Linked DNA regions of Caenorhabditis elegans. The main gene of each other region encodes a partner of the protein of the gene in region 3 in a complex. Each region holds a gene or a part of one and is shown on either strand. Other genes may lie near its edges.

Region 1 (10,766 bases), on a different chromosome or scaffold from region 3:
TGAAGAATGCGATTTCAAGACCATCGGCTATGAAACTCTTTGAGTAACTTTTACTGTGGAATAAATTATTTTAATCTCCGAACTGTCTTAAATTGGTTTAAAGTATATCCCACTAACTTTTCAAATTTATTCGATTCACAAGACTTGAAAAACACTCTTTCCGCTGCTTAGTTCGATTGTTTCATTCAGCACATCTTATTCTCCAACAGGCATCCGCATTTCATAAGCCTCTAGAAAATCATAGCATTCATCGATTCCCAGTTTAAATGCTGTTTAAATGAAGCTTCAAATTTATTTTATTTTTCTTTTGTCAAAATGTTTATTTTAAAACAGCGTTTTGTCAAAAGTATGTATTCAATTTTATGCTTTCCCATTGGTTTCTCATTGGAGCTCTCGAGCTCCAAATGTCCGTTACACCATGTCCACCTGCAACCTAGTTAGAAGCGAAAGATAAAATCTGCATAAACTTCAAACGTTTTGTATTAATTTGTAAGATTTTAACGCTTATTTACATAAATACAGTTTATTTTTTTCGAGATCATAAGATTTAGTTCTCAAACGAACTTTGGATATGTGCAATACGAGATGATTCCTAATGTTCATGGTCGAATGACATTTGCCGCCACTTTTTCAGCAATTACACACCAATTGCCATGTTCAAAAGTTGCTGAGACGACTTTTAGACTCTCCACGGAATCTACTAAATCGGCAAGTTCACCGTCTTTGAAAACATGATAGAAGCGGTAGAATGTGACCTGAAAATGGAAAATTATTAGCTGAAAATCTCTTAATTTAATTGTAAGTAAAATCGCAGCTTGGTAATCCTCGTTAGCTTTGAAGTTTAAAAAGGTAGTTATAAGCTTTTATGTAGGTCCAAAAATGCTCACGAATCTGCTTACTTCGTCTGTAGGAATATTTGAACGTACATGAACAAAAGTTTGAAAACAATTTTATGAGAAATTTTCAGCTTTAAACATTGGAAATCGTTTTTCTTTCAAAAGACTGTCTCTAATTTACCTCTCTCAAAGTAGCCATTGCTTCAGTAATACTTTCTCGCATTATAGTTTGTGCCAATTCTTCCCCAAATTGCTCTTCAACTGGAACTAACAGTGAAGCTAAACGTCGTCCAAGCATCGGACTCCATCGTTTTATTCCAGAAATTAATGAGTTGGTTGTAGGAAGGAATTGTGGAGCAGCTGATGGAAGTTTTTGAACCATTGGAGAGGATAAGGATCCAGTAGGAGTACTTTGGTTACTGTATGCAGGTGAATTTGGACAGCGTTTTGAAAAGTACGGAAGCTGGTCAGTAAGGGATACTACCTGCAAATCGAAAAATTTTTTGATTTTTTTTCGGGAATTTTTAATTAAGTGTTGAGTATTGAATTCTTAAATTTTTGATTTTCGAAAACTTCAAAATATAACCAGTTTTTCTCCCACATTTGCAGTGGCACCAAATTAGCAAAAATATAATAAACCCACTTTGCTCAAAACTCCCGAAAACCATTTTTGGGGTATCGATCCATCGGAGATATTTACTGGTATTGAAGCAGCAATAACCCGCTGTTCTTTGGTAGTATTCAAGTGAAATTTAACTTTTGGAAGACGACCTGAAACAATAGGAGACATCAAAAAAGGATATAGTTTATTTACCTCCAATCGCAGTTTCGTGCATATTCCATGGAACAAGAATGTCCTGGGATGCGAATTTTCCATTTGGTTGCTCAAAGGCCCAGGCATATATTAGCATTTGACCTCCGATGCGGAGGCATCGAGAACATTCTGGAATAAATATAAGTGCTGCCAGAAATTTAAGATTTAATTAGACTGACAGTTTACGAGACTAATGGGGTTATTCAAGTAGTGTCGGAAAATTAAAAAGTGTAGAAGAATTACGTCACAACTGTATTAAAATACATAAAAACATGTATTTTAATACATTTGTGACGTCACAAATGTATTTAAATACATTTTGCTACATTACTTGAATAACCCCATAACTATTAGACTCGCGATTTGACCAGACGGTATTTCTAGACCATACAAATATAATATTTAAATTTCGTAGTTTTAGGACTAGAACGGTTTCAATTTCCAGAAATTAAAAATTTTCATAATTACCTTGTAAGACTTGTCTTCTCCTAGCAGTCGTCGCCAAGTGATGAATCACAGACACGTTTAAAATTGCATCTACACTATCGTCTCTGAAAATAAAACATTGTATTCTCTAAAAAAATACAAAAAGAAACCTAATTGGAATATTTATTGCATCCGCCAAACACAAGTCAATATCATCTTTTTTACTCGAACTAAGAACTTCGGAGCACGTATCAAAGCCGATGACGTGGCTTTTTTGAGAAGTGTATTTTGCTTCGCCACATCCAACATCTAGAATGATACTTCCTGCAGATTGCTGATCCACAAATTGACGGACACGTGGCCAAATACGTGGAGATGAGGGCTTGTGTTCCTGAAAGAGTTTCTTCTTTGATACTTTATAATGCCTACTTTGTTATGAATTTTTCCTAGCTGAAACTATACGAGTTATAGAAATAATTAACTCCAAATTCTCGGATTTTCTTCTAGATCACCAGACAATGAAAAAAACTTAAAATTTGTTCCAACTATGTGTGTTTTAAAAAAATATGTTTTTGAACCATAGTTTTAATAGAAATTTCCAAAAAAAAAAGCACTACCATTGAAGCTTACTTTTTGTTGATATGTTGCCAATCGAGAGTAAATCGAGTGAACATACTCTTGTTCAACGTTTTCCGAACTTATGCTCATACTGTTTTTTGCATCTGAAATTGTTTCATTTCATTTTAAAACAAAGTCGAATGATGAACAAAAACATTAAAGGAAATCGTCTCAAACTCTGAAAAAGTTTGGCATAGACACTGGTTTGTTTGGACCCGACAAAAGTAGAAAATGAATAAATTTGCAAGAGAGGATTTGTTGAAGGAGAAAGCGAAATAATAGGTCAATTTCTAATAACGATGCAAGGAGAGAAAGTGGAAAGTAAGGAGAGAATGAAAGAATAAAATATAGAAAAGGATGCGAAATATGAGGAAAATTGAAAAATGAAGTGTGCATCATGAATTATTACTCAATTAGTAAATTGTGAAGAGGAAAAACATTTCCTGGATATTAGGTTTCAGCCAATATTTCACTATGAAAAATTGGTTTTTGTTAGTAATTTTTTCTGACCGGGCCTACTCTTAGTAATATTGTTTTGTGTATAGAATGAAGGCATTCCATTTTGTTGAGGCGACATTAGAGCGCCCTCCTCTCGCCCGACAGTGATTATTCTCCATCGTTTAAATTAGTTGTTCCCAAGGTCTTGTGACTGAGTCTCGCACAGATTGGCCATCATATTACTTTCAACTTTTTTTTTGTGGTAAAATCCAAATCTTATCCTATTTATGTTACATTGCAAATGTTAATATTTTTCAATTCAAAAATTATTTTGAAAAAAGCCAGTTAATGACACCATTAAAAGGAAAACTGGGGTACTTGATAGATCAAAATTCTTCTATAATTTTTTTCTCGTGGAGACCCATCTGAACAAACTGCGCAATTTGGTAGAAGACATTTCAGAAAACTGCGAAAACGTTGTTCTAGCTTTAATTTTTTTTTGAAATTTTAAATAAGAGTAAAGTCATGCCGCATCACAAGATAAACAAAAATAATCTTTAGTATTTGAAAATCAAGTGATAAACCTTGCAGATTTAGATGTAGGGTGCGTGCGAGTCCGTCTCTTAGTTACCCCTCTTGGCTGAGAGAAAGCAGGGACAGGGGGGCTTTTGCTCTTTTCTCTCTTGCTCCATCCTCTTCTAGACGAGCTGACGACAAGCAAACTCACACACAGAGTATGGATGTGGTGTGAGAAAGCAGGAGCACATAGACACGAAAAAGAGCTCTCCCGGAGCACGGAGAGCCCCTCAGAGAGCACACACATATACACCGTCATTGATTTGGACATGAGAGACGATGTCGTTTTGATACATGCATTGAAAAGGAAAATGGAAAAAAAAGAAGAAGAAGAAGATGTGAAGACATGGATATTACATTCAAGGACAGAGAGTCAAAGAGCAATACTGATATATTATCTTCCTGAGAAATATGCATATTTAATCATGAGACTCAGCGAATTTGCTTTTCCTATCACAACATCATTTTTAAAGAAACTTACTTTTTCAGACAATAGAAAGAATAAATTTATATAATATTAACTTAAACGTTGGAACCAGATCTATGCTATTTAAAAACTGTCTAGATTAGACAACCAAACAAATTTAGGGCTGAAATTGCCATTTGAAAATTTTCCAGTTCATTTTTCCGCCTAAATACAGATCAGTCAAGATTTTTTTTAGATCAGTCAAGATTTGAACTGCAAAAATAAGAATGAGAACATGCTCTGCGAGCTTGATGGTTATAGCCAGGGCTGCTCGTCGAGCATGACGAGATAATGACGAGTTTGTGGCGAGTAGTCATCGTAAAGGAGAAATAAGAAAGCAATTGGGAAGAGCAATTTCTGGAAAAAAAGGAAAGGGTTGAAGGAAATGTCACATCGGATTAGGATTTAAATAAAAGAAGATTGAAAATCAAAAAATTCATAGAATAGAAATTTCAGACTTACTATAGTCGATTTACCAATTCATAGATGGAGGTCTCAAAATGCGCATAACTGGGAAGTATATTTTGAGTTCAACATATTTTTACAAAAATGGACATATTTCAAAAATATCATTGCAGTAAGAAATTCGTAAAGTAAATTTGTTTATGGAATTTTCTACCTCAAAAACTGCCTAATTCTGATATTTTTTTTAATTCTTCCATATCTAAATATTTTAATTCATACAGCTCAAAAATTTCGGCTTCTCCGTAGCCTATTCCCAAGTGTTTTATGCACCTCCGTATCACACCACCATGTTGTAAGTCGCTACTCAGTCGATTTACCAATTGAGAGGTTGAATGCTTAAAATGCACATATTTCAGAACAGTCTTTTCCCTAGGAAATTTCAAATTTTATCTGATGTTCAGATCGTAGCACATGCTCTTTTGATCGGTTATTATTCATTCGGGGATTGACTGAGGATCTTTAGATTCTTTCTCACTTTCAGGTAGACTTCCTCGCGGCTTCGGCTCCGGTAGTAGTAGTTTACATATCAGGATTTTCAACACTTTTGTATTCCGACACTATTCCACTGGAAAATTCACTTATTGTGCATTTTTGGCAAAATTCTACAAGTTTCAAGGGAGACGCGCTTATACAAAAGGGTCTCGCCGCGGGAATCGTATTTATTAAAGATACTTGGTTTAAATGTCTTCTTACGTTAACAGAAGATTATTTTTAATATGTTTTTCTCGCGGCGAGACCCCTACACACATATGCTCTGTCCTTTGAACTTAAATGTTACTCTTTTCGTTTCAATACCAAATGCGCAATAAATCCCGCATTGAAGCATAGCGTTCTCCCATTACTTCTGCTCCCATTTCAGTTATTTTTTATGCCAATCTTGAAATTATTGCGTGCTCAAACGAAAATCAAACAAGCACTTACTTTGAACGATTTACTTATCGAAGGAATACCACAGAAAATCGTAGGATAAGATTATGAAAATTTGCACTGAAGTTCATGGGTGTGGGAAAACGAGGGAAATTATAACACTTAAAGAAGAAAAGGGCTGCTCAAAAATTGTGAGAAAAATACATAAATTTTGGAAAATGAATTTTGCAATTTATGGAAAAATTAAACGGATTGAAGAATGCTTCTGGTGATTTCTTGAATGTAGATATCCGAGCTGGTGAGCTTCTTCTCATCAGTAGAGGACGGCTTCAAAACAGCTTTCTTGGTCGGTGCATTCTCCTTGTCCTCCTCTTCGAAAACTTTCTCCGGTGAATTGACAATTGGATTTTTTGCGAGATAGTTCTGAAACATAACCAGGTTCTCATAAAATCTCAAAGTTTCATTTTTTAAGGAAAACATTAAGAGTTGTGTTAATATCAGTGCTTTGATTAAAAGTTCGAATAGTCTAAATAATTACCTCCACAAATTCCTTTTTCGAATTCAAGTTCCGGTCGTGAACGACAAAGAAGACATCAGAATCGTTTTTGACAGTCTCTGGCTCAGTGGCTTGAATAGTGTACCCCTTTTCTGGAAGACAACTATGTTATTATGATTCAAAAATGCTTGAAAACATTTACCGAGAACTCCGAAGCGCTCATTCAATGTGATTCGTTTATTTGTCGCAGTTTTGTACTTGTTTTCCAGAATCGACGCCACTTTGTTGCTGTGCTCACGGTCAGCTAAAGGAATAACTTGATATTGGATGGCAGTAGTCATTCTGAAAGGTTTAAATTTTTAAATTTTACTGAAAACGCAAAATATTTTGCAAAATGGGAAAGTGGAATGATTGAAAATCAGAAAATTAATTTTAAAATTGACAATTTTTAAAAGAATGGATGATAAATTTGTCTTCGCGCGCTACTCGAAACAAAAAGTGCAGCGGAGCGTGTTTGCATTACTTTCAAAACGACGCAAATAATGATTCATTTTCGGATTATCGACTCCAATTTTACGATTTTCGCCGGTATTTCATGTTTTATTTTGTTCCATGCAATCTTTTTTCACTTCTAAATAATGTCTCAAACTGTTTCGTCAATAAAAAAATCAATAAGCATGCGCATTGCAGGTAATGAGCGCAACACTCCAACCATATCTGGAGGCCGTGCGTCACACGCTCCAGGCAGCTCTCTGTCTTGAGCAATTCAGTTCGCAGGTGGTCGAGAGACACAACAAACCAGAAGTAAGATTTATAACAGTAAAATGACTTGCAAAGTGTGAAGATTGAATAATTTAAATCAGTCCGCCGCCAATTGCAATAGTTTTTCGCTCAAAAACTATTTAAATGTATTATTCTATTTGTATATTATAATAAAATTGTAGGTGGAAGTTCAAACATCGAAAGAACTGCTCATGACGCCAGTTGTTGTTGCTCGAAACAAACAGGAACGAGTACTCATCGAACCCTCCGTCAATTCTGTCAGAATATCAATCGCCATCAAACAATCCGACGAAATCGAGAAGATTCTGTGCCACAAGTTCACTCGATTCATGTGCCAAAGAGCCGATAACTTCTTTGTGCTCCGTCGCAAGCCACTGCCAGGTCAGAATTAATACTAATATTCAGAGATTAAAGCGATAATTTTAGGTTATGACATCTCGTTCCTCATCACAGCATCTCACACAGAAGCAATGTTCAAGCACAAACTTGTCGACTTTTTGCTTCATTTTATGCAGGAAATTGATAAGGTGAACATTTTAAGTTAATTTTTAAAAAATTCCATAAATTTCCAGGAAATTTCCGAGATGAAGCTGTCTCTCAACGCCCGTGCCCGTGTTTCTGCTGAAGAATTTTTGAAGCGTTTCAATTAATTTTCTCCCCATGATTCCCAATTCATTTTTCTCATTTTCACTCAAATTCCGAAGACTTTAAACTATTATGTGAACACGGTTTTTTGATCAATTTGTGTAAATATCATCTTTATTCTCAATTTTTTCACTTTTTGTTTCTGAAAATGACTCCCCTCCCAAAAATTTCCTGTTTTAGGTCCTATTTTGCCTTTTTGATTATCGATTTTTTTTACCGCACACTGACTTTATGAATTATTTATTCAATTTTTGCAATATGTATGATCTGAAATATCTCGTGAAACATTTACGAGCTTTAATATTTTAAAATGATTATTAAGTTGGAAATTGACAAATCAATTTCAGAAATGAAGTCTATTCTACTTTTATTCTCCCTGATAGTGCTCGGCAGTGCAACAGAAGAAGTGAGCAGAACTGAGCAAACATCGACATTATTCTCCGTCGAAGGCGAGGTTCGTATACCAAAAATGTTTGATTTTTGGATTAAAAATATCGATCATTTTGGCTATATTCATAGAGAAGTCATATTATAAATTAAGACAACGTTTATATGCTTCTGAATACTTTTTCCAGTTCTCACATTTTTTAAAATTTTATCTTCTAGGTTCCTATTCTAATAACAACAAATTCGTTGTAAATTAAATATTTCATAGTCCTCAAAAAAAAAATTTCAGATCGCACTTCCATCTACTCGAAATTGTGCAAAATGGTCCGCAGGTGCTCGTATTCATTTGAACCATGGCCAATATATGGGATTTGTTCGTCAAGATTGTACATTCCGTGTTGATTTCGTGCCTACTGGAACCTATATTGTTCAAATCGAAAATACAGATTTTGTCTTTGAGCCAATTCGCGTTGATATCACATCAAAAGGAAAGATGAGAGCTAGAAAATTGACAATTCTTCAGGTATATTGAATTTCGGAACAAATCAAACAATTTCGATCGTAAATTATTAACTACCGGGAGAAAACGGTTAAAATCGGACGTAGCTCCTCCGAACGTGTGATGAAAAAATTTTTTTTTAATCCTCTGTTTATCATGACTGCGTCGTAGTTTTTTTTGCAAATTAATATATAAATATAGAGAAATATTTGTAACTTCTGATAAAAATTTTACTTTCATTTGAAAGTTTTCAGAAGCTGCTCCAAAACTAACTAAAAAATATCGATATGCCGATCGCCATTTGACATTTGACACATTGCGACTTTGAGGCATTTTTAAAAATAAATTTTCAATTAAAAGTAAAATTATTTGCAGAAAAACGAATATTTCTCTAAAATTTTATTTGTATAAATGTGTTATAAAAACTTGGACACAAGATGAGAAAATGACTGTTTTAGGAATAAGCCGTATTGTTTCGCTTCGAATCTTTTATAAAAGTTCTAACTTGGAAAATATAGATATAGACATTCTGTGCAGAAAATCTCAAGAGGCCCTTAAGCAGTTCTTCTGAGTTATTTGAAACTTTCTTTCAATCTTCATAACTTTCAGCCGAACAATGTCAACACTCTCCCATATCCACTCCGTTTATCAGCACGAGGTCCTGCTCGTTACTTCAGAAAACGTGAAGAATGGAGAATCACTGATATGCTGTTCAGTCCGATGGTTTTGATGCTCGTTGTGCCACTTGTTGTCATGCTAATTCTTCCAAAGTATGCTTCCTCTTAAATCGCTCATCTGCAAAATTCCAAATTTTCAGAATGACAGCAAATGATCCCGAACTCAAAAAAGAAATGGAGAACATGCAAATGCCAAAAGTTGATATGCCAGATGTCGGTGAAATGATGGCTAACTTCTTTGGAGGATCCGCACCTGCCAAAAAGAAAGCAGTAACTGGAGGAAGTGGCAGTGGACAACGAAGAAAATAAATATTCTCAAAATGACAAACTCGAAATGCCGTAATTCCTTCCACAATTCATGAAATGTATCGATTGGTTACCGTTTTTGAATTTAATGTATTGTTCTCAAAACCGCTTCAAAATAGTCAGCCTCTGTCAATCCGGGTGGACTTTTATAAATTCCCTTTCGTGATCTATTCATATTTTTATTTGCTCTATTGTAATAACTATTTAGATAAATGAATATTAATCATTCATTCTTCTTTATTCTTTTTTTAACTTCACCAAAACTGATCCATGTTTATAGAGTTTCTGAAAAGTTTTTTCAGAGCAGTACAACTTTAAAATTGTAGTTTGATGTCCCTAAGTGAAAAATTAGAACCTAAATATTCCGAAAACAGATAAAAGAAAAACTGATGACTCATGAAAAGAAACAGGGCAAAGAGGTTTGTATACATTCGAATTTGATAGTTAAAAAATGACATTTCAATTGCGAGAGCGACGCTGGAAGGAATTCAAAATGCTCGCGAAAGCGATGATCTTTTGAGAAACCAATATCAATTGAGGAAGTGCTTTGAGTAGATTTTGAATGAGTCAGTCAATTTATAATATCAGATGCTGATGCGTTGATGCGTTGAGAGATGAGAGATTGAGAGGTTTATGAGAAGCTTTGAAAAAATCAAGTTTTTATTATTGAATAAATCCAGAACAATCATAGTGTGAAAGATGTGAATCTAGCACTGAAACCTTGAGCAACACCACTTCCATCTGTTTTAAATGTCACAAACATGTTGTTTCCAGTTGAAACTACACTGAACGGGTCCAAACTTCCACTATACCTTCCTATTTGTGAACTACTAGCTGATTCTCCATTGTAGACCACAACGAGATCAAAGTTTACCTCTGTGGCAAACGCTGAAAAATGGAGAAGCACTCGATAAGATCCGAGTGTTGATAGATGATAAGAGCAGAATTGATTATTGTCGTAGTTGCTCGGATAATTTGGAGATGTAATGACACCAGGTGCAATCAGAAGTGTAGAATTGCAAAATGATGGATTGGAAGGAACCGGGGTTACTGTTACTGGTGGTGGAGTGCCAGAACATTTGATGCCAGCTGATCTTTTACAGATAAAAGGCACAGCGGCAGTACATGGGAAGCTAAACCAATAACCCATCGGAACTACACTTGGTTGATAATTCGATAAAAGAGCACAGTTTCCTCCATGACCAAACGATTGATCAATGTTAGTGTAATCAGAGTTAGAGCCATCCAACCAATTGAATACAGACGATGACGGCCACGACGCACCGATATATACACTGGAATTCGATAAGTTCATAATTGAACTCATAATTGAACTTAAATATCGGTTTTCGTTAGAAGAATGAATTGAGGCAAGATTTCCACATTCTTGTTCACAAATTGCCTGAGCTTGCACAAAAGTATTCCGTTCCGTATGAAGCGTGAAACAATGTCCATTGTAATTGTATG
Region 2 (11,013 bases), on a different chromosome or scaffold from region 3:
TAAAGGAACATGATATTTTCTGAAAGAGTCTCACCACGATCATATCGTCTCAAGAAAGTCTAACCTTTTTTTTAATTTGGCAATTTGCCAAACCATTGAAATACTATCTTAACAAAGATCCCACTGGCACTACATAATTTTTAATGGATGTTTTATGTTCATATGATCTACACCGTGTGTTGTGTGTTCAGAGTTTCCAATTCTAATTCAATTAGCAAGAAATTGCAAGCTTGTTTTGTTTCTTGAAACATTGCTAAAACATGAAGAATATACACGGATAGCTTCTTAATATAATTATTGAAAAGAGCACTTTGAGGCAAAACCCTACCATTTCAATGATCTCTAAAATCTAGTTTTTAATGTAACCTCAATTGTATACATTACTTTTTTCAGTGGCAAGATACTTAAAAAGCTGACTCTATTGAATTTCAAAAGTCCGGAGAATGTGAAAGACGTATGGCATCACAGATTGGTTCGAGGCGCCAAGTTGGATCTCAAAAGACATTTTTTCGATTTTCCAGGTAAACTTTTTGATGTATCAATGTTTACTAGATTATGAACTTTCAGACCAGGAAGAACCAAAAGTGAAAATTAAACTGATCAATAATCATGACGGATGGTTTCCTATTGAAGAATTACGATTCAATTCTGATTTGGTTAGAGATGCAGTTCATATTGATACTCAAGAATACGAATGCTCTTTTTACGAGGATCATAACTTTTTACCCAAATATGTGAAGCTAATTGACAAGTTGGGATCGTTTGCAGTTCGAATAGATCACAATTGTCGATGGAGATATTGGAATTTCGATGTTTCAAATATTGATATCAATTATTTTGATTTAAAGTTTCGAAGTGATCTCAACTACACGTCAGACGTCTTTGTAGCATACATAAAAATTCAAGGATTTGGGAAAAACATTGAAACTCTCAGAGAGAAAGTTGTTAAGCCACTCCGTTTGAATTGGATCAGGGATATTTGTAGTGAACAAATAGGTTAGTACGTTTTGTAGGCAGTTCGGGATAGATGACAAAATGCCAAAATGTTGCAAAACAGCTACAGTACTCTCTCTAGCACCTCCTTTGTCTCATTTTGAGAGTTTTTATCTTGGCTGTCTTTGGCTTTATTAAAACAATTTCGAATACTTATTTTTAAAAGTAAACGGTTTTTGATAAAAACAATGACATGCGAGATATGAGGTGTTGAAGTTGAATGAGCAGTGAGGGCACAAGACTAATAGTGAACAATTTTCAGTGTATGAAAATGGATGCCTTTTATTTGAAAACACGGATCCAAGTGGTGTTCTATTATTAGAGGAGCTTCGTCAAATTCACTACAACAGAGAGAATTTCAAACGATCAGCTCCATTTGTCTTGAACTTGCAAAAAGAAGATTGTCTGCACATTTCAAAGAAAATCGAACTGTACGAGAAATTTGGGATAGTTGCTCTTCAAATACTTGACAATTGTCCAAAACAAGAGAAAGTATTAATATTAGATGGAAGACAGCCCTTTGATTACGTTACGAATCGAGATGATATCAAATTTCATAAAGGTGATATTGTACGTTACGCAAGAATTCGATACTTTGCACTGGATGAACACTTGGAAAGATTAGAGAAATGGTTTCTTCAATTGGGATATTCTGATGTCAGAGAAATTGGTAATATTGATGGATCGGCTGAATATCCAGAAGTTGCTGTAATCGGATGTATATCAACTTTTATGCCATTCCCATATCTACAAAAGACCAGAAGAAATTATACATCTTTGGCAAACACGAAGTATACTGTAAGTTTAATTATTGAAAAACCAAGTCTTACATAAAAAGTGAACAAAAATAGTGCTGTAATTAGTTGGCATGATCTGTAAAATTGTATGTTTTTCATATAACAACTCTATATTCAGATTCCAATATTCTATTTTCGAAACAATAGTGGTCTTGACTGTGAGGAAAGGAGAGTTTCAAATGTTCTTCGACGTGTTTTGGGTAGATTCACAGTGGCAACATCTCGAAACTGTGAGTGTGGACCAGGGACAACGTCTACGACAATTTGGAAGAACTGTCAGTTACACCGAGGAACAGTTGAAATTACTGGATCACCAGAACAAAAGAGCCTTTGCAAATATAATTCGATTCGTAAAATTCAAGATGGTCAACTTTGGATCCATGATACTTCTACTGTTTCCAATTTGGATAGTTTTCCGCGTCTAGAAGAAGTTGAATGTGGCCCCGTGTGGAATGAAACTGATAGGAGAAGGTTGTCAGCTGTAAGAATAGATGGATACAATCAGAAATTTGAACATGTGGAGCTACTAAAGATGAAGAAAAAAGACGATCAATGTTTGAAATTTGTAGCCGTTGTTGGTGATAAGAAAAGACTTCCAAGATATTCAGAATCTGAGTGGATGGTTAGTTAAATCTTTTTGAAAGTCTCTCATAAATTGCTGATAATAAATAATTTCAGCAGGAGCACGATGACCTAAATGACATAGCTATCAATAGAATTGGAAAAAGTAAGAATTGAGTTTTAGAATATTGTATAAATTTATACATATGTATTTGGCTTTCAGAATGCGTTGGGTATTCTGGAAAATTTGGTGGTTTGGCCCGAATTATCCCATCAACTCGACGATTGTGAAGTTGTGGAAGGAGATCTTGTAATTGATGGAAGTGCTGGTGGTGTATTGAGAATGGCATCGGGACTTCGAAAAGTGAAACGAGTTCTTGGGAATGTGATCATCAAAAATTTAAGATCAGACTTCTGTGAATTAATCAAAAATCTGAAATACATTGATGGTGATCTCATATTTGAAAACAATCCATATCTGAGAAGAACTTCATTATCGCTGCGAGCTGTTAATGGAAAGATTCGGATGATTAGAACGCCTCAACTATGCTGGGAAGTTCAAAAACTTCGTAAAGTGGTACAAGCTTTCAAGATGAAGCATATATATTCTGACTGCGCCAACAGTAAGTTTAAATTCAAAAATCAAATGAATAGGTTATTCGTTTCAGTTGAAATGGACACTTTATTTGAAGAATACGAAGAAAAATGCACATTCGTGGAAATAATTGTGAGCCTCTGTGTATTGGCGTCAATTTTGATATTTGTTTGCTATGTGATGATAGATGTTGTGATCATCTTCCTGAAATCCCTGAATTTCACTCGATGGAGAAAAATAAAAGAATTGGACATTCATCTCAAAACTGACCCAACAGCTTATTTGGACGAAAAATCTTCAGATGAAGAACCTGATGTGATGACGTGGAAGAGGAGAATTCTGGTTAAAAATCGTCTGGATGGACGGGATGTGATGGGAGAAAAAAGGAAAAAGGAAATGAAAGAATACCGAGCAAATCGAAAAACAATTAATTGGAGACGGAAGCTTGGAGCATTGACGAGATCCATTCAAAAGAACGAATCGGATAGTGAGTTCTCAGGACAAAGTTGGTTGAGAAGAAAAGAGTCAAGAAAGAATGCAAAAGAGATGAATGAAGATCAAGGAAAATATGAAAAAGAAGGTCTTCCGATTGCAGTACTGACTGGTTTAGGAGAAACAAAATGGAAAGGAAGAACGAAGAACATGGCACTTGAGGCAAGAAAAGCTGATGAACGAGAATTGGAGTATTTTGAAGCAGTTCATAAAGCGATCAAAGAAATAATTGACGATGCAGAAGGTGACGAAGAAGATCGAATTCTGATGATTTTGGAAATAATGGAGAAAAGGAAAATTATTGAGCCGAACGAAATTATCACGGACACGAACAAATTCGAAGAGCTTCTGGTTCAACTGGAAAATCATTTGAGTGAACGTGAAAAGGAGAAGTGGATTGCCTGGGCTAAAAGGAAACAACAATTACGAGAGACGGCGATCACGACATATGGAAAAGGAAAAAGCTTTAACATCTACGATAAGCCAGTTAATCTAGAAGAAGATTATAGACTGAATGCTGGTGTTGATAACTCGGAAATGTTTGTGAAAGTGAAAATAGAAACGATGAACTGGAGGTCTTCGGATGAGAGTGGAACTGAAGATCGAGAACTTTAACTTTATGTCGTTATTTTTAAAATGTAATTTATAAAATTTTTGAATTCAACGAAACATCATTTTTATAAACTCAAAACAAGATGAAACAGTAAAAACAGTAAATTAACAGTGAAAACTTATGCAATATTCGAAGGAATGTCGTCGAAAATGGATCTGGCTGGCTTGTGATTGGCCGATACTGGGGTGTGCTTCTGGGGGGTAATTCTTGGACTTCCAGAAAAGGTGAACTGGTTGCTGGTATTCTGAATCGCTGGAGAGAGGAATCCACGTCCAGCTGGCAACTGAAAATGATATAATTTTATGCGTGAATTTAATATTTATTTCTTACCGGATTAGATAGGCTCAATCCGGCTGAAAGTGGTGAGCCAGTTCCATAATCATTCTTCTTTTCTTTTCTGAAAATTAAAACATTTGTTATAATATGTGGGTACTTCACAAACCTATAGATAAAATGAAACTCGTCGCAGTCATTATGTTTTTCGATGATTGTTCTCGGCTTTGCTTTCATTTCGTATCCAAGGGCTGCCAACTCGAAACGATCGCTCAACGTCACCTAAAATTAAAAAAAGCTTTCGTCATCAACATTAATAGATTATTACTTTTCTGTGAAGATTTGTATTGTAGTTGAACCGTTCAGCGCATTTGTGTGCGATATTTGTGTCTTTTTCAATATCCGAGTCGGTTTTTAACGAATTCTGATCGATTCTTTTCTGAAAAAAAGTTTTATTGTTATTAATTCTGAAAAAATGATAAAACTCACTTTAAATGGTGTGGATGCCAAAGTAATATGCGAAAACTCCCTTTTAGCCGACATAATTGGAAAATTCGAATGTCAGCCGAAGAAATTGTGTGCAATAATTTTAACACCGTTACTGTAAGTTTTAAAGACACATGTCCATTTTGAAGGCATGGGTCTCGAAGCGAAAAAACTTGTTACGGTAGCGCGCAATTAAAAAACTTGTAAAAATCTTTTTTTTTAGCTTGTTAATTAACGTTAACAAAATATATGAGAATATAGATGCAGAAAAAAAAGAAATTTCATTCGATGAATGTACATTATTGAGAAAACACAGTCTACCTATTTGAGACTAGTTTAAAACAGAAAGAAATTGTAAATTAAGGTAAAAAACCTATACTCTTTCGTGGAAGCTTCCTGATTCGTCCGATTCATACCCATCGTTTTCAAATCCATCATTGTCGTTGATTTCGCTCCGAACCGAATATTCAACTTCAGTTGTTTCTTGGAATAAATGAGTTGGTGTCATAGGTACAGTACTATGATCATCATAGACTGTTACTCCAAAATTCTCTTTCATGTGTTTGGTGAAATCTATTTTACTAGTCGAACTTACTCCATCGCTGAAAGTATTTGGAATAATTGATTTCAGAAGTTTGAAGAAACTTACATCATTGTATTTGTTCGACTTCTTGTATGTTCAATAAGAGCTTTTGTAAATACCATATTACTATTTAAATCTCCACGTGCAATCTTCTTTGCATCTTCATCAACCAAATGCTGTAAATTAATTATGAATAACAATATCATTAAGCGTATTACCATACCTTGTACTTTCTGACCAATTTAGTCTTATCCATCTCCTTCATATTGTTCTTATTAACTAAAATTGGTCTCAAATAATTATTGTTGAGTGCATTCCACGAATCACGAATCCAATGATGCCCCTTGAAACCGGCAATGTCTTCCATTCCAGCCATAGTCGTGTCGATAAGCTATAATTTTCATTTCACTGGAATTTTGGTTCTGAAAACTCACTTCGCTGTAAATATGCTCAATCATGTTCTTTGAGTGAACATTCTTTTTCTCAACTTGTAGGAATTCGGCAATTGGTTTCAGTGTAATTCCCTGAAAATGTTAAAAATCTATTTTAGAAGTATTGGAAATAATCCAGATTTTTTTTCAAAATTTAACTAGGCACATTAGAAGGCTATGTAAATGAAATGCTGAAAAGTAATAGTAAGGTATGTTTTTTAAAAACATCACGGGTATAAAATATAGCTAGATTGTTTAAAAAGATACCTGGAGGAATACAGTGAAGTAGATGACAATGATACAACTGGTGACAAACATATTCTTTCCGGGTATAAAATCTGGAATTGCAACGACAAGACCGTATGCAATGGCACCACGAAGACCTCCATAAGCCATGATAAATTGGTCTACCTGTATGAAACATATACTTTTTTTTATCAAATAACACAAATTAATTCTCACCTTTGTGTACTTATTCAGACGATACTTATTCAAGAAATAGCACATAACAACAACTCCAAGGGTACGGTAGATCAAGCAGAAAACTACAGTAAGAACGATGAAAGATGTGTCCCAGTGATGGTTTGAGGATACTGTTGAGAGTCCCAAAAAGACAAAGATAACTGTTTCCGATGCAAGAGAAAGCACTTTGATGAATGATTCTGTGGCTTTTACCGTGTCTGGGTCCACATTTTCACGGCAGTACTGACGCATGGCAGCACCACAAAATACAATTCTGCAAAAATTTTATTGAAAATTAGTTCTAGTTATATTTTGTTTCAGTTTTACAGCTCTGGAAGAGAATTACGGTTTTTGCCAAAACTTTTCATATTAGTATCTTCAATCTCTAGACCTTAAGTTTACATTTTAAAATTCCGATTTTTAATACAAAATTTAATATGAAAATATGAGTAGGGCTAAAGTTTCAATATAAAAAAGAAATTCTGAAATAAATTAACTTACGCCATAATACTTGAAAGACCGAAAAGTTCTCCACAAAGATAACAAGTGTACGGAAGAATGAGAATAAATACAGAATTGAGCACTTTGACCTCTTCATCTCTAGCAAATCTTGTAACAAGACTTGTCAAAAATGCAAAAAGAAGACCAATTCCAATTCCACCAAATGCAACAACCAGGAAAGAAACACCTCCATTGATATAATCAGATGTTATCAGATTCTCAGTTCCAATTTCAGAGAAGGTCAAGAACATTCGATAAAGTACAACAGCAACTCCGTCGTTCAATAGAGATTCTCCGAACACGGCAATAAAAAGAACTTCGTTGACCTGTAAACTTTGACTTTGTTATCAGAGAAATTTGGGAGACTGTCTCACTTTCAATTCCTCGAAAATGACAATTACAGCAACTGGATCTACATCAGCAGCAACTGAACCGAAGAGAAGCATATGCATAAGTGGAGTTTCAACTGAGAATAATCCAGTCAAACTGATGGCCCATAAGGAGAGAGCTGTAAATTATTAGATTTATTTCCAAATTTATCTTTAACTAGGCATAACGGTTTCAAAGATATTCAAAACTTTTCTAGACTATTTCAAATTGTTATCTTATCACTAAAATTGCTAATGTCCTTTGAGGTTACTATTTTTGAAGTTACAAGCTACAAAATTATCATTATTTTTAATTGGAGTTTGAAAATTCATAGTCATGTTGTTTTACTTTGTACATAAATATATTAGTTGTGAAAATATTAAAACTAACCAATTGCGACAATATTGAATGAAGTTCCAATCATTGCAAAACAAAGAATTGATCCAAAATTATCGAAAAACTGTCTTGCAGGCATAAAGTATCCGGCATCAAAAACAAGTGGCGGAAGTAGATAAAGCATGAATACTTCACTTTCCAGGAAAAATGCATTTTTATTGACTCCGATCAATTTGAAAATGATTCCAATAATTAAACCAATCATGATGAGTAACGCGGAATCCGGGAAAAGTTCATTGAGATGTGGAATCAAGTTGAAAACTGAAAAATTGACAATTTTTAGACTGTCTTTTTAATATTGTAATAACTATTGTTTATTCTTTTTCTTCCAGGACATTCAAGTTTTCTTCGAAAGACTTGGAAAGTTGATTATCAAACAAACAGATTTACAATTTTTCAGAATAATTTTGATCTCAAAACATATATTCTTTGTAAGATTATATTTAATTTATGATAGACCGAAAATGCCAATTATCGAAACAAGTCTTTTTAAGTGTCAACTCTTCAATTCCCTGATTCAATTAGCAGTTTAATTTCCTGAGCATCCCAAAGTGGCAGCTACGTACTAATTTTCGCAATCGATGCTCCAATCAACCATAAACAAATAGTCATTGGAATCTTGACATTCTCCCATTCAAAATAAGCAATTGGATATCTAGATGGATATTCTTTTTCTTCTTCTTCACATTCTGCTCCAACATAGCTCATAATCAATAAAAGTCCAACGACGAGCACCCAAGGCCTCCGGAGAAGAGACATGATTTAATCACTGAAAATTATTTCAAATTCCAAGAATCAAAACAACCGGAAATAGTTTTTTGTAAAAGTTCAAAAAGAGCATGAGAGAGAGACGAGAGAGCGCTATGTGCTCTTGATGTTAAAGCAAACGAAGAACTGATAAAAAGTAATTGATAATAAAGAAGAGAAATAGAGATACGAAAGAGAATGAAATTGGGAAACATGGTAATAGGATTGGAATCTTAGGTATGGCACTTGTGTCGACAGTATTTAGAAGCCGATTACTGTCATTTCCAGGTGAAATTTGTGATTAAATTTCAGGTCTTAACATCAATTATCACAGTTAATATTGCTTAGAACAATTTTTCGTTGTGTTAAAGGTACTGGTAGATGTTTTCAAAATGTTCAGTAAACGTTTTGGCAGATTGCCAAATTAAAAAAAAAAACTTTTTGAAAAAGTCTTGCGTGTCAGATTTCCTGAAAAATTCTACGAACTACAAGAGTGTAAGTCTATTAATATATATACTTTTTTCCCAACTTTCCAATTGCAAAAAGCTGGTCACCATATTTCCTCTATTAGGGATCTAGTAGTATTGCAACTCTGCGAACTAAGAGAAAAGTTGCAATACTATAAATATTCCCAATATACTATTTTTTTCGCACAAGAGAAAATAGAAAAATGTGAGTTGATGAGTAGGAAAAATTGTTCTATCTGATTTTTGTCATTATTTCTTCGATATCTTCAATGTTTCAAGGACAACAAATTATAGCAATGAAATTATACAAATTAAAAATAAAATAGTAACGCAGGGGGTACGGTAAGTTCAGAAAATTAAAATATCGATGTTCATTTGGCAATGACAAAAACATGGCATAACATACCACACCCGGTCTATAAATAGATTGAGAATTCAAATGTTTCGTAATTTTGACCACAAAAAATAAATTCACAAGTGTTTTCAAAAAAACCGGGAGGGAGCAAGGAAGCCACGTCCGCATGATAGTCGACAAAAAGTGGGGGAAAAGGCCATAAAGATAAGCAATTGAGAGCAAGAGAAACGTGTACGCGGATGTGACGATCGAAAGGTAAAAAGTAGATCAGAACGGGTTAAAATCAGATATTATTTGGAGCAAAAAAGGACCAAAGAGTCAAAGGGTTTTATTCCCAAAACATTTCTGGGAGATTACAGATGCCTTAATGCTAAATACTACATCTAACATTGTGAAAATTTGTTTTGAAAAATACTAAAAGAGGAAAAAATTGCTATGATTCAAACTCTTCAATAAGATCAACTCAGCCTAATTGGAAATATACTACAATCATTTCTATGTTATTACAGTTGTTATATGATTTACCTTTCACCTCTCATAGAACTTCCATATATTGTTTAGCAGATGTAGTGATAATGATTCAGGTACTCTACAAAAAATTGGATACAAAAATGCCAATATATGGGCGTGGCTTCACAAAGAGCAGTTCAGAAATTCGTCTTCTATGATTCTCAAGAAAATTGCCAAAAGTATTCCTATTCCAGACTAAATAGATCTATTTGAAAAATTTTTATGAGAAGTGCAGTTAATACTTGTCAATAACTTGGAAGGATCTAAAATCAAAAATTTAATATAGGATGTACCGTTTTTATTTTTTAAAGTACTCGAAAATATATATCATTTTAATTTCACACCTCTCTAAAATAACAATTTTAAAAAATTAGAAAAATCATAAATAGGCTTCCCTAGTTACATATATATTCATAAACTAGAAAATGAATAATAATTCATTCTTATCAAAAACTGAAACTAGTCTCTGGAATCAATAAACCAATTCAAATCGTGCCATTGCGGCCGAAGAGCGCTAATAAATTAGCTTGTAAAACTTTGGCAGTGTCGTCAGTGCCTGTGATGATAAGAGAACCGTCCTCTAGCACATTACATGCAAAGTAGTACAATCTGTTAATTTATCAGTAGACACGTGGTGGTCGCCACAAAGCTGAAACTGATGTTCGATAAATGACTAAGCGTTTATTCAACTGACAAAAAATGACATATTTACAGTATCTGGATAAGACAAAATCTACACATTCAGAATTTATTGAATAGTTCTTCTAATTCCTGAATGGCTTTAACTGGTCTATCACAAACGAATCCTTTACACATGTACACTGCAGGTTTCGGTCCTTCAGCCATTGCCTTATGAGAAGGTCCCGATGCTGACAAATCTTCTTCTGATTGAATATGTACAACAGACAGGTTATTCAAGAACTTTTGATTCAGTCGGCTTCGAGTTTCGGACAAAAGTTCAGATTTCGGATCACCAACGAGAACAAATGTGGTAGATCCAATTTGCCATCGATGAAGTGCGACTGCCATTTTTGGTAGGGCGATTGGGACCCTAAAATTAAAAATGTTGCGAGCTCAAGCAAAAGTTGTTCGATATTACGTATTCAGTCGCTCTGAAGCTCCCCGGAAACACTGATTCGCCTTCTCACGATATTCCTCCTTTTCAAGAATGTCATAAAGCCTAAGAAGGTTGTTTGATGCGATTGAAGTGGCTGTGGGCTCTGCTCCATCTTGATCTGAAATTTAAGTGTTATGTGTACTAATCAAAATTAAAATAGTAACCTTCAATCATTCTCACAGAAACATCTTCATCGGTTTTCTCGCTGATGAAGTATCCATTTCCGTTCCAGAACTTTACATCACAAATTTTCTGAAGCTCAACG
Region 3 (11,200 bases):
AAGTTTCTCAAACTTTCCAAAAAATGCAAAAAAAAACATTCCAAAAGTACCAATTTTTCCAAAAAATTCCATAAATATATTCAGTCCACCGAACGTTTTTAGATCTAACTGAGAGTTCTCCTGAAGTTTTTCAGAGTTTGAAGGAATTTATAGAAGTTTCTGATGTTTTACAGGATTTTACTAAAGTTTCTCAAATTATCTATAAATGCCAAATCTTTTCAGAAAGTTTTCAGAAAATTTCCGGAAAACCTTCAATTTTTCAAGTTTTCCAGAAGATTCTCGATTTTTCCAAAATCGTTTCAGAATTTTCCTAATTATTCCCATATTTCCATCGACTTCTTATAGTTAATTTGATTTTCATCAAATTGATACAAATGAGAAAATTTGAAATTTGATAACTCACGTTTCGATGCAAAAAGAGACGAAAGGCGGCGTGATGCGGGCAGGATTTAGGCAGGCGGTAGGCCCTGAAACCGCGCCTGCCTACCATTGAACCTCTAAGCTATTCAGTTGTATTTTTTGATATTCCAGATGCGTACCGACGTGGGTTCTATTCCATTAATGTGTATTCTGTCTACACTAACGACTGGTGTGTTCGGATATCTTCCGACAGAAGATCTCACAAATTCGATAATTTCTGGAAACGGTGGTTATCCAGTTCCTCCGGACACTATTATACCGGCCGATGGAGATGAGGAAGGTAAGTGGATCAGAAATTAATAATTATAAATTTTTTAGAGTAGGGTTTTCTTCTGAAATCTGATATTTTGTGAATTTTGCAAAAAATTGGAAAAATCGACAACGAAATGCAAATTGTTTCGTTAAATGCAAAATGGATGCGCACCTTTAAAGAGTAAAGTCTATGAAAATGCTTTTATTTGGTATTACAGTTCTTTTCAAAGGCACACATATTTTTCCCATTTAACAAAAAATCGTCGTGACCTTATATCGTATTTTCGGCGCAAAAATCGGAACATTTCGCGTCTGTATAATACCCCATTTAAAGGTTTACGACGCAATAATACAACACCGGGTCTCGACGTGGCAAACGATTGTTTATTGATTTTCACGGGATTCTCGCCTTTCTCATTGAATTTTCGCGCTCCATTGGCAATCGCCTGCCGGACAACGCGTGGAAAAGTGTAGTGTACTCCACACGGACAAATCCATCGGTTTTACAACTAAAAACGAGCCGCGACGCGACACGCAACGCGCCGTAAACCTACACAAAATCTCGCAGACTCAAAATGGCCTAGTTCGGCAAACTCTGCCATTTCGATTTATGAGGGAGGCCAGAATTCCGTGATTTTCCCATTTCTCACGGCCTCTCTAAATTTCACGTTTTTCAAAATTCATCTTTTTCTCTCTGCTCTCTCACTCTCTCACGTGAAATATTACTTTCTGAATAATAATTTGTGTTTAATTAAATCAAATTTTATTGAAATAGAATTCATGATACACGATCTTGAGAAGAGCTCTGTCCTCCAGGCTGCGAACTGGAGCGTAGAAAGTTTTCATATTGTTAAAAACTGCAAAGAAATGTTCGATTCCTTGTTCTGACGTGTGATGCTTTCTCAAATATGGAATTAAATGACAGACAAGGAGATGAAGTTTCGGAGTGACTCATTATTTCATCAGTTTCATTAGGAAAAACACTCTTTATTTATTCAAGGAACTGTTAAAGCAAAACTTCAATTTTGTCAATCTCTTGGTCTAAATACGTTCTATCGTTAGATAAATCTAACTATCTAACTGAAACGAGTACAACTATATTGTAACGCAAAAAAGCTAAGCGCCATAAAACACAAGTAAAACAGGCTCCAGTAAGCCTAAACTGTTTTTACTATAAAAAACCATTGTCATTCACCTACCTACCAAATGCCAATATAATTGGTTGAAAAAAATTAGTTTAATCTCCTCGCAAGATTTTTTTCTCCGAAATTTAAGATTGGGCGCTTAGTGATATCATAACTCTGCAGCCATCAGAAAAACTGAAATGTATTTAAACTGTAAGTTTTAATCGTTTTATGAGGATTATTTCTTTAGTTGACAGTTTTTTGATAGCTTCTTTAGTTATTGAGCTACGGGCTTCCAAACAAAACCAATCAAAAACCACTATAAACCACAATGTCCTAAAAGTGAAATTACTCAGTCAATTTTTAACCAAATCACGGCATTAATGTCTTGATATCTTCATTGAACAATTTGTAAAAATCGTAAGGCGGTAGTTTTTTGATAAATGTCATCGTTTTTTAGTAAAATTGCGTTAACCATTCAAAAATGGCCCATTTTTGGTGTTTTCAGGCCTAATTCTTGTTTTTGAAATTCCGGAGCCAGTTTTTATCGAAAATTTTTGTGCAATGTCAAAAAATGACCGGAAAAAAATTCTCTACAATCGTAAGGCGGTACTTTTTAAAATTTCGTTTCCATTCTTCCCCAGGGATCCCGTAAAAAACCAATTTTTCGACTAGGTCTCACATTTTGCCCTACAAGAGCATAGTTAATGTTATAAATTTGGATTTTTTGGTCGAATTTGATGAGGTAATATTCAGTTGTTTGTTTATTGTTGGAAAATCTGAAGATTTATCAGCGAATCGCCCGATTTCGCCAATTATGACCAAAAAACCCCTAGTTTAGGATTTTCACGAATGGATGAGTTCATTGATACGCTTCCACGCTGTTTTTGGTTTCATTCAGACGCTACTTGCCTGATCTATCAGTCTAACAATTTTTGTTTAATTTTCTTCACTATCCGCCGTTTATAGTTCGTTCTTCCGTAATCAGTGCAAAATCGGTTCAAAAAACTCACTCTCTCGCCCATGAGAGACGCAGAGACAGTTCATCACGTTATTTTATTTAATTATTGAAATGAAGAGAGGCCGTGATTTCTGCTTTTAAAAAAGTTGATTTTTGGAAAACTTGTCAAACAGCACGTGTATTTTTCTAATAGCTCTTTTCGAGGCATGGGTCGAGCTGAATACACGTGAAACCGAAAAAAGAACAAGAAAAATCGAAACTACAGTACTCCCTAAAGGCGCACACTCTTTTCCATAAATTATTTTGTTTGATCGTCTCGAGACCTGGTATCGTAATCTTGCGAAACAAATCGCGAACTGTCGCATCTCATTTGAAAACTGGGCAAAATCCTTATTTTATGTAAATTGGAGCTCATTTGGCGCTGTAAAATGCAAAAACATAATAAAAAAGTGCATTTCCAGGTTCCCCAGACGAAGAATCCGACGTTGATTCCGGTGATTCAATTTATCGAAAGAAAGTCACCACATTCCGACGACGAAACATAAATGCCCCATTCGGAGTTCGTGTTCCTTTCAGTAGAATGGCCTATAAAGCCGGTTATGGATCAAACAGAATGGGCTATCGGAACACGGGATCCCCGCCACCCCCACAAATAGGTGGCCTCTACGGTGACCGTAATCCGAATCCATATGGCACAGTGAATCTTGGTGGAGGTTCCCCATATCCTGGGGGTCTAGAAGAGTACAATATCCGGCCGGCCGCTCCATTTTCCGGACTGGTCGGAGGAAGTCGATCTGGGTACTACGGGAGCACTGTTGGTATGAGACGGGGTGCCGTTGTGCCGCCTATGAGCTCCAGGAAGACGAAAATTCCACAGACTGAGTATCCACGTAAGTATACGATTTTTCTATGCGCTATAAAATTCTTTAAAATCCGCTATTTTCCAGCTGATTACGCATCTAACGACCTGATGAACAGTTTCAATGGAGCTACAAATTCCGCGATCCCATCACTTCGCGAGCTTGCCACCTATGCGTCACGCTATGGTCCCGCATATCTTCGCGAACGATTCGGAAGCCATGATTCCCAACTTGAGCGTATGCTTTATGGCGGCAGTGGACCACAGATCCCATCACGTGGAGGAGGAATTCCCATAGATTACAACATGAACATTGCTTCGAATCACTGGAACCGAGGAATTGGCTCTCCGATGGGAATTATGTCGCGGGATGTTGATTCCTATCAACACGACGATGCGGCCAAAGCAAACAAAAAGACCACTACCGGCTCGCCGAGCACGACGAGCACACGGAAACCTCGGAAAGCTAGGAAGCCAACCAAGAAGACTGTTGCCGCAGCTCCTTCGTCTAGCTCGAACACATCGACTACGGCAAAGCCTGCAAAAACTGTAAAGACATCGGAGAAGTCTGCCTGAAAACAAGAATAGAATCAATTTTTAAAAATGTACAAAATCAAACGCCCTACAAATCATGTGTGTGAAGAAGAATAATAACTAACATATCTATTTATATTTACCGAATAAATATATATTCATCAATTAACCTGAAGAACAAACGAATTCGGCTACAGGCGTCGATCAGTCTCGAATCTAGTAACAACAAGAGAGCAATACGAAAACCGGTAAATCAATAGGGGGAAGCGAAACAGTAGGTACAAATTGGAGGGGAAGCACCAATACATTAGGTGGGGGGTACGACTTGAAAAATGAGCTGATTTTCGAATAGTTAAAGCGATGATCGTGTCCGAAAAACAGTTCATTTTTCAAGACAACATTGAGACTGGGAGTACGGGGAAGCTCATTTACGGTGAGAGGAATTGGTGAGATCTTTAGAATATGCTTAAGGAGTTGGGGTGGCTGGAGAAGTTCCTGTAGCCTCCGTGCCGGGATTCGATGGAGAAGTCGTTGCGGCTGGTCCCTTTTCCTTCACTGGTGCTGGATCCTTGGCTGGAAGACATATGCGTGGCTTGACAGTCGATGAGGTGCGAGCCGACGAGTCCTTGTGAACTTCGTATCTGGAAATATTTTACTTAGATAGCAAATACTAAAATTGTAAAATTACCTCAAAATCTCAGTATCCGGAATGCTCAATTTCTGCTTCAAAACCTGTCCGATGCGAAGATTGACATCATCGCGAGTAGCATCACGAGTCCACAAGGAAACCTTGTCACCCTTTTGACGAACATTCACGACAGCTCCGCAGATGTAGTCTCCGTACTCGTCGAATTGCTCTCCAACAATAGCCATCAACAGCTCCAACCAGTAGTGATCGAGCAATTGCGTTCTTCTCTGAAGCTTCTATGATTCATTGAATAAAATATATTTCTCAAAACGTACTTGCTTATCGACAACAACCAACCAACGTCCACCTTGAACGTTGTTGACGTCCTCCCACATTGGCTTGATTCCTTCCTTGAACAAGTAATAATCGGATCCCCAGTTCAATCCTCCGGCAGACTGAATGTGATTGTACAGCGACCAGAAGTCCTCGACAGTGTCGAAAAGTGAAACCATCTGGAAAAAATCGATAAAAGACGTATTTAAAAATCTTCTACCTTCAGACAATCCTCCCATTCCTTGTTACGGTCAGCTTTCAAGTACCAGAGAGCCCAGCGATTCTGGAGGGGGTGTCTGGTGAGAAGCTCTGGAGGAACTGAAGCATCGGACGCATTCACATCGCCGGAAGCTGACAATGCTTTGTTTTCCGCTACGGATGTGCTCATTTAGCTGAAAATAGGTAATATTATATACGATTAGAGCTCGGAAAACGATAAAATAGAGAAGAGTATGAATTTGGTTCAAATAACTCGGATTTTATAGGAAATTTTGTTTTACTGCACATTTTCGGCTAGTTTCCAAGCTTTTTAGATTTTTCAAGTGTAATTGGTAACATCGGGCACAATAAATTGATATTAAAGCTTGGAAAACAATAAAACAAAGTAGAAAATGAATTCAGCTCAACTTCGACGAAAAATCATCAAATGATTCGTTTCCCATGAAATTCCTAGTAGTTTTTAAACATTCTAGCTGTTTTTTAATCGTAAAAGTGAAAAAAAAAAGAGCGATTTCCCCGAAAAACCTTGGAAAATGAAGAAATGGAAAGAAAGGCGCGAATCCTGAAATTCAAACACCAGACACACGCAAAACGAGTGTAACCGTAGTTTTTGTCGTTGCGAAGTATCTTGTCTGCGGAATTGCGCCCCCCTTTAAACAAAACAGCGGAAAATATGAAAATTATTTTTGTATTAAAATAAAAATCGAGTTGTTTAGGTAAAATTTTTCAAATTTTATTGAAAATTCGGTAAAATAATGAAATTAATCGCTGAAAACTCGTTATTCGCACAGAAATTGAGCTCTTTCAGGGAATTCAGGCTAAAAAATTATATTTTCAGGTTTAAAATTCAAAAATTTATTTTCCAGATTGCAGTCGATAATCTGAGTTTTCCCAAAAAATGTGCATTGTTTACAGCCTGTGGTTCTCAATTTCTCCAATTTATCCACGAGTGCGTCTCCGTTTTCTTTTCTCCTTCTGCCGCATTCAGCGTCGCCGTCGTCGTCAGGAATTCATGAGCCGTCCCGGTGTCTCGAGCTCTTGTGAGCATACACACAGACACATACAGCAGCAGCCTCCACAACATGCACATATAAATATATCGGTCTGGGTGTTGCTGCTGCTGCCGCTGGGCGCCTTTTCCCTCTCTGTGTGCCTCAACTCGTCGCACATATCTCTCTCTCTCTCTCTCACTTTGCCTTGTTTTCCCTGCCCATCGTCCCGTAAAAAGGTGGCCAGACAGTTCTCCGAATCGCAGAGACGCAGCAAGCGTTGCCCCGAGGCGCCATTCGTCTAACCTACTGCGTCTGACACCCCGCCGTCAGACGACGTCGGGGGCCCTCCGACGACGACTTCTTTCGCTGTATTTCTCTCTCTCCTCCGTCTCCTCCTCCTCTCCACCACATCGATTTTCCCGTTTTAGAGTGTTGGCGGTGAGCCATAGTCACGAATACTTTGTCTATTTTTTCGGCGACGGCTGTTGGGCTTCTCTTCTCTGCGTCTCTCGCACTCTTGTCCGCCTTCTGACCGTCATAATTACCACGTCGTCCACGTAAAGTCTTCGGAGAGCGCCACGCCCCCACACACACATACACACAACATTTTCGTAGCCGCATTATTCTCCTAACAATCATCGTTTTTTGCTAGTTTTCAGTAGTTCCACAGACTTAAAGGAGGATCACCGAAATTCGAGACTTGGCTTTTTGGGACCCAAAATGTTCCAAAACTAATTTCGTAATGAGATGTTCTGAAAATTTCTCAAAAAAAAAAGTTATGACCGCTCGGAAAATGGTATATTTTCAGCTAAAATCTTAAATTTTGACAACTTCTCAGTGTCGCAGCGGTAGGAACTAAATTTTGATGTGATTATCACTTTTTAGTATGTATTTATTTATTTTCATTTCCACTCACACACGCGAAGCCCACAGCATTTGAAATTCTATAGTTTGTTTGCAGAATAGAGGTGTGCGGCACAAAAAGTTTACTGGAAAAAAGTAAACTTTTTTTGCGGCAAAAAAGAGTCGGAAGCTCAATTTTTTCAGACTCTTCTTATATATTTCGACAAAATAATTATGTTATCATTTCCTATTTAAGCGTCTTAAATTGTTCGCATAACAATGAGGAATTCCACGTTATATGGAAACGCTGTAAAAAGATCTCTGGTGAAATCGCGCTCCACGAGCTATTGAAAACGCTCCAAAAAACGAAAACTAGTTTTTTTTTTAATTTTTAAGTTCTTAATACTTTTTTCGACGTAAAATTCAATAAAAACAACGAAAATACCGTATTCCCTCTATTAGTCTTGCATGCAAGACTAATTTTCAATTGACCCGTAGGGGTGCAAGACTAATAGAGACTGCAAGACTATTAGAGGCTGCAAGACTAATTTTCGAAGATCCAATAGCTTTGTAAAATTGATAATTTATCGTCAAAAATTTGACTTGAAACTGTCTAAATCGTGCAAAATACATACTTTTCTATTGTTTTATCAATTATTTGAACACTTTAAAACTTAATTTGGCTAAAAAATGGCGAAATTTTTGAAGTTTTCACAAAATACTGCTGGTCTGGCAAGAATAGGGGTGCAAGACTATTACCGTATGCTCTCTAATAGTCTTGCATGCAATACTAATAGAGGCTGCAAGACTAATTTTCGATTGGTCCGTAGGGGTGCAAGACTAATAGAGGAAATACGGTATTTGAAAATTGGCGAAACATTTGAATTCACAGTTTTGCCGCCACATGCCTAACGAGACCTATGGTTTGGGGGCGGAGCTTTGCCAATTTTCCGTGGAGCGCGTTTCCACATCGATTTCGAATTATGTTTTTTTAAATCTAAACCAATGAAAAATTCAAATTCCTGTGCCTCCGGCTTTTCTCAAATTCAGCCGCGACCAGTGTCTATAACGGAGACTGGAAAATTCATATTTCTCAGATTTTCTACTGAATTTTTAAGTTTTCTATGGATTTTTAAACTTATTTTTTGGTAAAAAAAATAAGTCGAGTGAAATTAAAAATTTATCGAGTTCAAAAACTCGAAAATCGTTCATAAAATTCAAGGTGCTCCACGGCCAAAAAACCGGGTACAACAAAAAATTGGCGGTAAAACATTAAATTCGAACGTTTTCAATTATTTTCAGTAGTTTTTCGATTATTTTTACGCGAAAAAAGGTTATTATCATATACAGCGCATTTTTTCCATCTCTACGACTTTGAAGGGGCGCATTTACGCGCGATCGTCTTGACACGCGCCATTCATAGATTTTTGAGGCGCGTGACGAGACCATGCACGCACTTTTGAACACCTGGTGTCACAGTGCCCCATTTCGGTTTGATCTACTTAGATCTGCGAAAATGCGGGAGTTGAGACGCAGAGTTCTCAACTGATTTCGCATGATTAAGAACATGCTGACGTCACATTTTTTTACGCGAAAAATTCCCGCATTTTCTGTAGATCAACCCGTAATGGGACAACCTGACACCGCGTGTTTGAAGGGGCCACAAACTCGTCGTTTGGCCGTGGAGCGCGTTTGCACCTCGATTGCACTTTTTCGCGCAAGAGCCCATAAGAGGAACTAAGTTATATCAGATTTTCACTGGAACACACAACAACTTCCAACAGATTAGCTTCCTACTCGGTACTCTTTTTTGCCCCCCCTTGCCTCATTGTCTACGGGAGGGGGATCCTCTTGTGTAATACGTTATTAAATTATGCCTGTCAGAGCAGCAACACACACAGACAAGTGAGTCGTCGACTCAAAAAAAGAAGAGAAAATAGAAGAAGAAGTGGATCTTCTTCTTCTTTTTCGGCTTCTCACTTTTCTTGATGCACCATACTTTTTTTCTAGTTTCACTTGCCTCTTTCTCTCTCAGTTCCCTGAAGATTTTCGTATTGTTCACAACTTGTTCTCGCGAACAATTCTACGAAAAACAGTCGTGTTTTTTATTACGTGGAGTCAGAAAGTCCCATTTCGCTTTGATCTACAAAAAATGCGGGAGGAAATCGTAGACATCTCAACTGATTTCGCATGGTTAAGAGTGTGCTGACGTCACAATTTTTCTGGGAAAAAATTCCGCATTTTTGTAGATCAAACCGCGATGAGACTTTCTGACACCACGTGTGGGCGGCAATTGCCGGAAATTTTAATTGTCGCCAAATTGCTGGTTTACCGATTGGTCGGAAATTTAAAAATTTTTGCAAGTTGCGTCTTAAGAAATCGAGATGCAATCGCGCTCCACGGTCACATGCTCCGCCCCTTTAGTTTGAGTCTCATTACATAGGTATTGGCAGCAGATCCGTTTTAAACGCTTTCAGTATTTTTTTTGAATTTTATGTCGAAATAATGTTTAAAAATGATTATTTTCAAAAATATTGACATTGCAATTATTAAAAACAACGGAACAAATAACAAAAAAAACCAAAAAAATTCTAAAATGATTAAATTTACGGGTTTGCCACCAAATACCTAACGAGACCCAACGTTTGCGCAGCAAGTTCAATTGGCTTTGAAACACGATTGCGCTTCAATTGCGCACGTGGTCGCTGACTGTCTCAAAATTGCTATTTTCTCGCGGACGAGAAAACGTGAAAAAATTAGCAAAATGGCCTGCAAAACGGTGGAAGAGGAGTATTCCTCGTCCCCCGTTCGCGTAGTTCTCTTTCATCGAAATTAGGCAAAGAGGCAGCCAGTGAGCACGTGTATTGCGTATTAATCACATCCCCACAACGAAAACTGTGAAAAAACCGCTACAAAAATTCAAACTTCTCCTCGAGAAGTCCACGAACTACAAAAATTAAAAATTTCGAAAAAATGGATTTTCAGAATAAAAAAAATCAATTAAATTTGAAATTTGATGTCCAGAAGAAGTTGACCAGGAAAATGTATCATTAAAGCGTGTTTTCACTACCACGAAGTCCCTCTCGCACACTATCTCGCTCTCTCAACATCCTGAAATAAGTTTTTGTCAGTTTGGTCTCCATTTTTTTGTCTGCAAACGATAAAATCTAAAGATCCAAAAATAAAATTAGTTAGTTTTAACCTTGAAACCGCCCGTTTGAATTTAAAAAAAACAATGTGACTTGACATCACCGTCTGTGTTCGTCTAATGAAAAACAGCAGACCGAAAAAAAAACGGGTCTGTTTTAATTAAAAACTGATAGCTAGGGCATTTTTAAGGGTCCCGGCACGAAAGAAACTTTTCATCTACAGTACCCGATGGCATTTTTTAATTTTCACAGATTCCGCTTTTTCGGATCGATTTCAAAAAACTGTTCATAGAATCATAGAAAGTTGCCTCCTACCTACCTTCTTTTTTTACCAACCTACCTAACTGCCTACCTGACTACCTATCTACCTATCTACATTACCTACCCTACCTACCCTACCTACCCCACCAACCCTACCTACCCTATCTACCCAAATTATTTTTATTATCAAAAAACTTTTTTTTTCCTATTTTTTTTTTCTGTTTTTCGAAAATTCAAAAATCATTCACTATATATTTTAGTATATAATATAATGCCCCAGAAAGTGGATAATCACTTTTCTGAAAAAATTAAATTACAGTACTCACTCTTTAAAGGCACACGGTAGAAATCAGGGGGAGTTAGTATTCTTCAAAACATCGCATAAGACAAATATGATGTTTCCGATTTTTTTTTTTGATTTTCCTCTAGAATGTTGCTTCCGTCTCCTCAATCCATTTTCATTCCACATAGATTCTAAAACAGAAAAAAATCGATTCAGAAAAAAGTTAACAAAAAACCGTCGGGGTTTTTTTCTTCTTCCTCTCCCTCTTCTGACAAGAAAAAGACCGCACGTTTAATGTTCTAATAAAACATGTCTCGGTGTTTGGAGGCTCTCTTCATAGTC

The links.
Region 1: ife-3 (region 3) and tost-1 share a complex: the UniProt entries of both Caenorhabditis elegans proteins name them as parts of the tost-1 variant of the PETISCO complex.
Region 2: ife-3 (region 3) and pid-1 share a complex: the UniProt entries of both Caenorhabditis elegans proteins name them as parts of the pid-1 variant of the PETISCO complex.

What each region holds. Positions count from the first base shown.
Region 1 is NC_003281.10:4,871,968-4,882,733, forward strand, and holds tost-1 (Protein tost-1), read right to left. Parts: upstream 6,345-10,766; 5' UTR 6,344-6,344; coding exon 6,205-6,343; intron 6,155-6,204; coding exon 6,045-6,154; intron 5,930-6,044; coding exon 5,750-5,929; 3' UTR 5,559-5,749; downstream 1-5,558. Other genes in the region: gipc-1 (PDZ domain-containing protein), read left to right, coding at 1-47; C35D10.12 (Methyltransferase type 11 domain-containing protein), read right to left, coding at 600-755, 1,018-1,320, 1,480-1,607, 1,651-1,779, 2,119-2,201, 2,247-2,467, 2,707-2,784; arx-6 (putative actin-related protein 2/3 complex subunit 4), read left to right, coding at 6,696-6,806, 6,947-7,166, 7,212-7,312, 7,358-7,435; C35D10.1 (ER membrane protein complex subunit 7 homolog), read left to right, coding at 7,780-7,884, 8,107-8,340, 8,926-9,086, 9,134-9,302; clec-5 (Deleted in malignant brain tumors 1 protein-like), read right to left, coding at 9,985-10,766. UniProt on the Caenorhabditis elegans protein: Component of the tost-1 variant of the PETISCO complex which plays an essential role in embryogenesis. Within the complex acts as an adapter which binds to the complex via erh-2.
Region 2 is NC_003280.10:7,685,637-7,696,649, forward strand, and holds pid-1 (Protein pid-1), read right to left. Parts: upstream 4,921-11,013; 5' UTR 4,868-4,920; coding exon 4,814-4,867; intron 4,764-4,813; coding exon 4,653-4,763; intron 4,607-4,652; coding exon 4,494-4,606; intron 4,449-4,493; coding exon 4,382-4,448; intron 4,335-4,381; coding exon 4,170-4,334; 3' UTR 4,054-4,169; downstream 1-4,053. Other genes in the region: F18A1.1 (Receptor L-domain domain-containing protein), read left to right, coding at 394-521, 568-996, 1,256-1,791, 1,909-2,412, 2,575-2,974, 3,020-4,053; nhx-2 (Na(+)/H(+) exchanger protein 2), read right to left, coding at 5,184-5,412, 5,460-5,569, 5,617-5,784, 5,828-5,917, 6,092-6,235, 6,287-6,560, 6,788-7,113, 7,162-7,295 and 2 more; B0495.5 (thioredoxin domain-containing protein), read right to left, coding at 10,373-10,682, 10,731-10,866, 10,913-11,013. UniProt on the Caenorhabditis elegans protein: Component of the pid-1 variant of the PETISCO complex which is required for the biogenesis of a class of 21 nucleotide PIWI-interacting RNAs (piRNAs) that possess a uracil residue at the 5'-end (also called 21U-RNAs).
Region 3 is NC_003283.11:2,320-13,519, forward strand, and holds ife-3 (Eukaryotic translation initiation factor 4E-3), read right to left. Parts: upstream 5,511-11,200; 5' UTR 5,500-5,510; coding exon 5,332-5,499; intron 5,291-5,331; coding exon 5,114-5,290; intron 5,075-5,113; coding exon 4,839-5,074; intron 4,792-4,838; coding exon 4,617-4,791; 3' UTR 4,269-4,616; downstream 1-4,268. Other genes in the region: idpp-2 (Intrinsically Disordered Protein, expressed in Pharynx), read left to right, coding at 532-700, 3,219-3,647, 3,705-4,192; B0348.10 (uncharacterized protein), read right to left, coding at 6,256-6,420. UniProt on the Caenorhabditis elegans protein: Recognizes and binds the 7-methylguanosine-containing mRNA cap during an early step in the initiation of protein synthesis and facilitates ribosome binding by inducing the unwinding of the mRNAs secondary structures.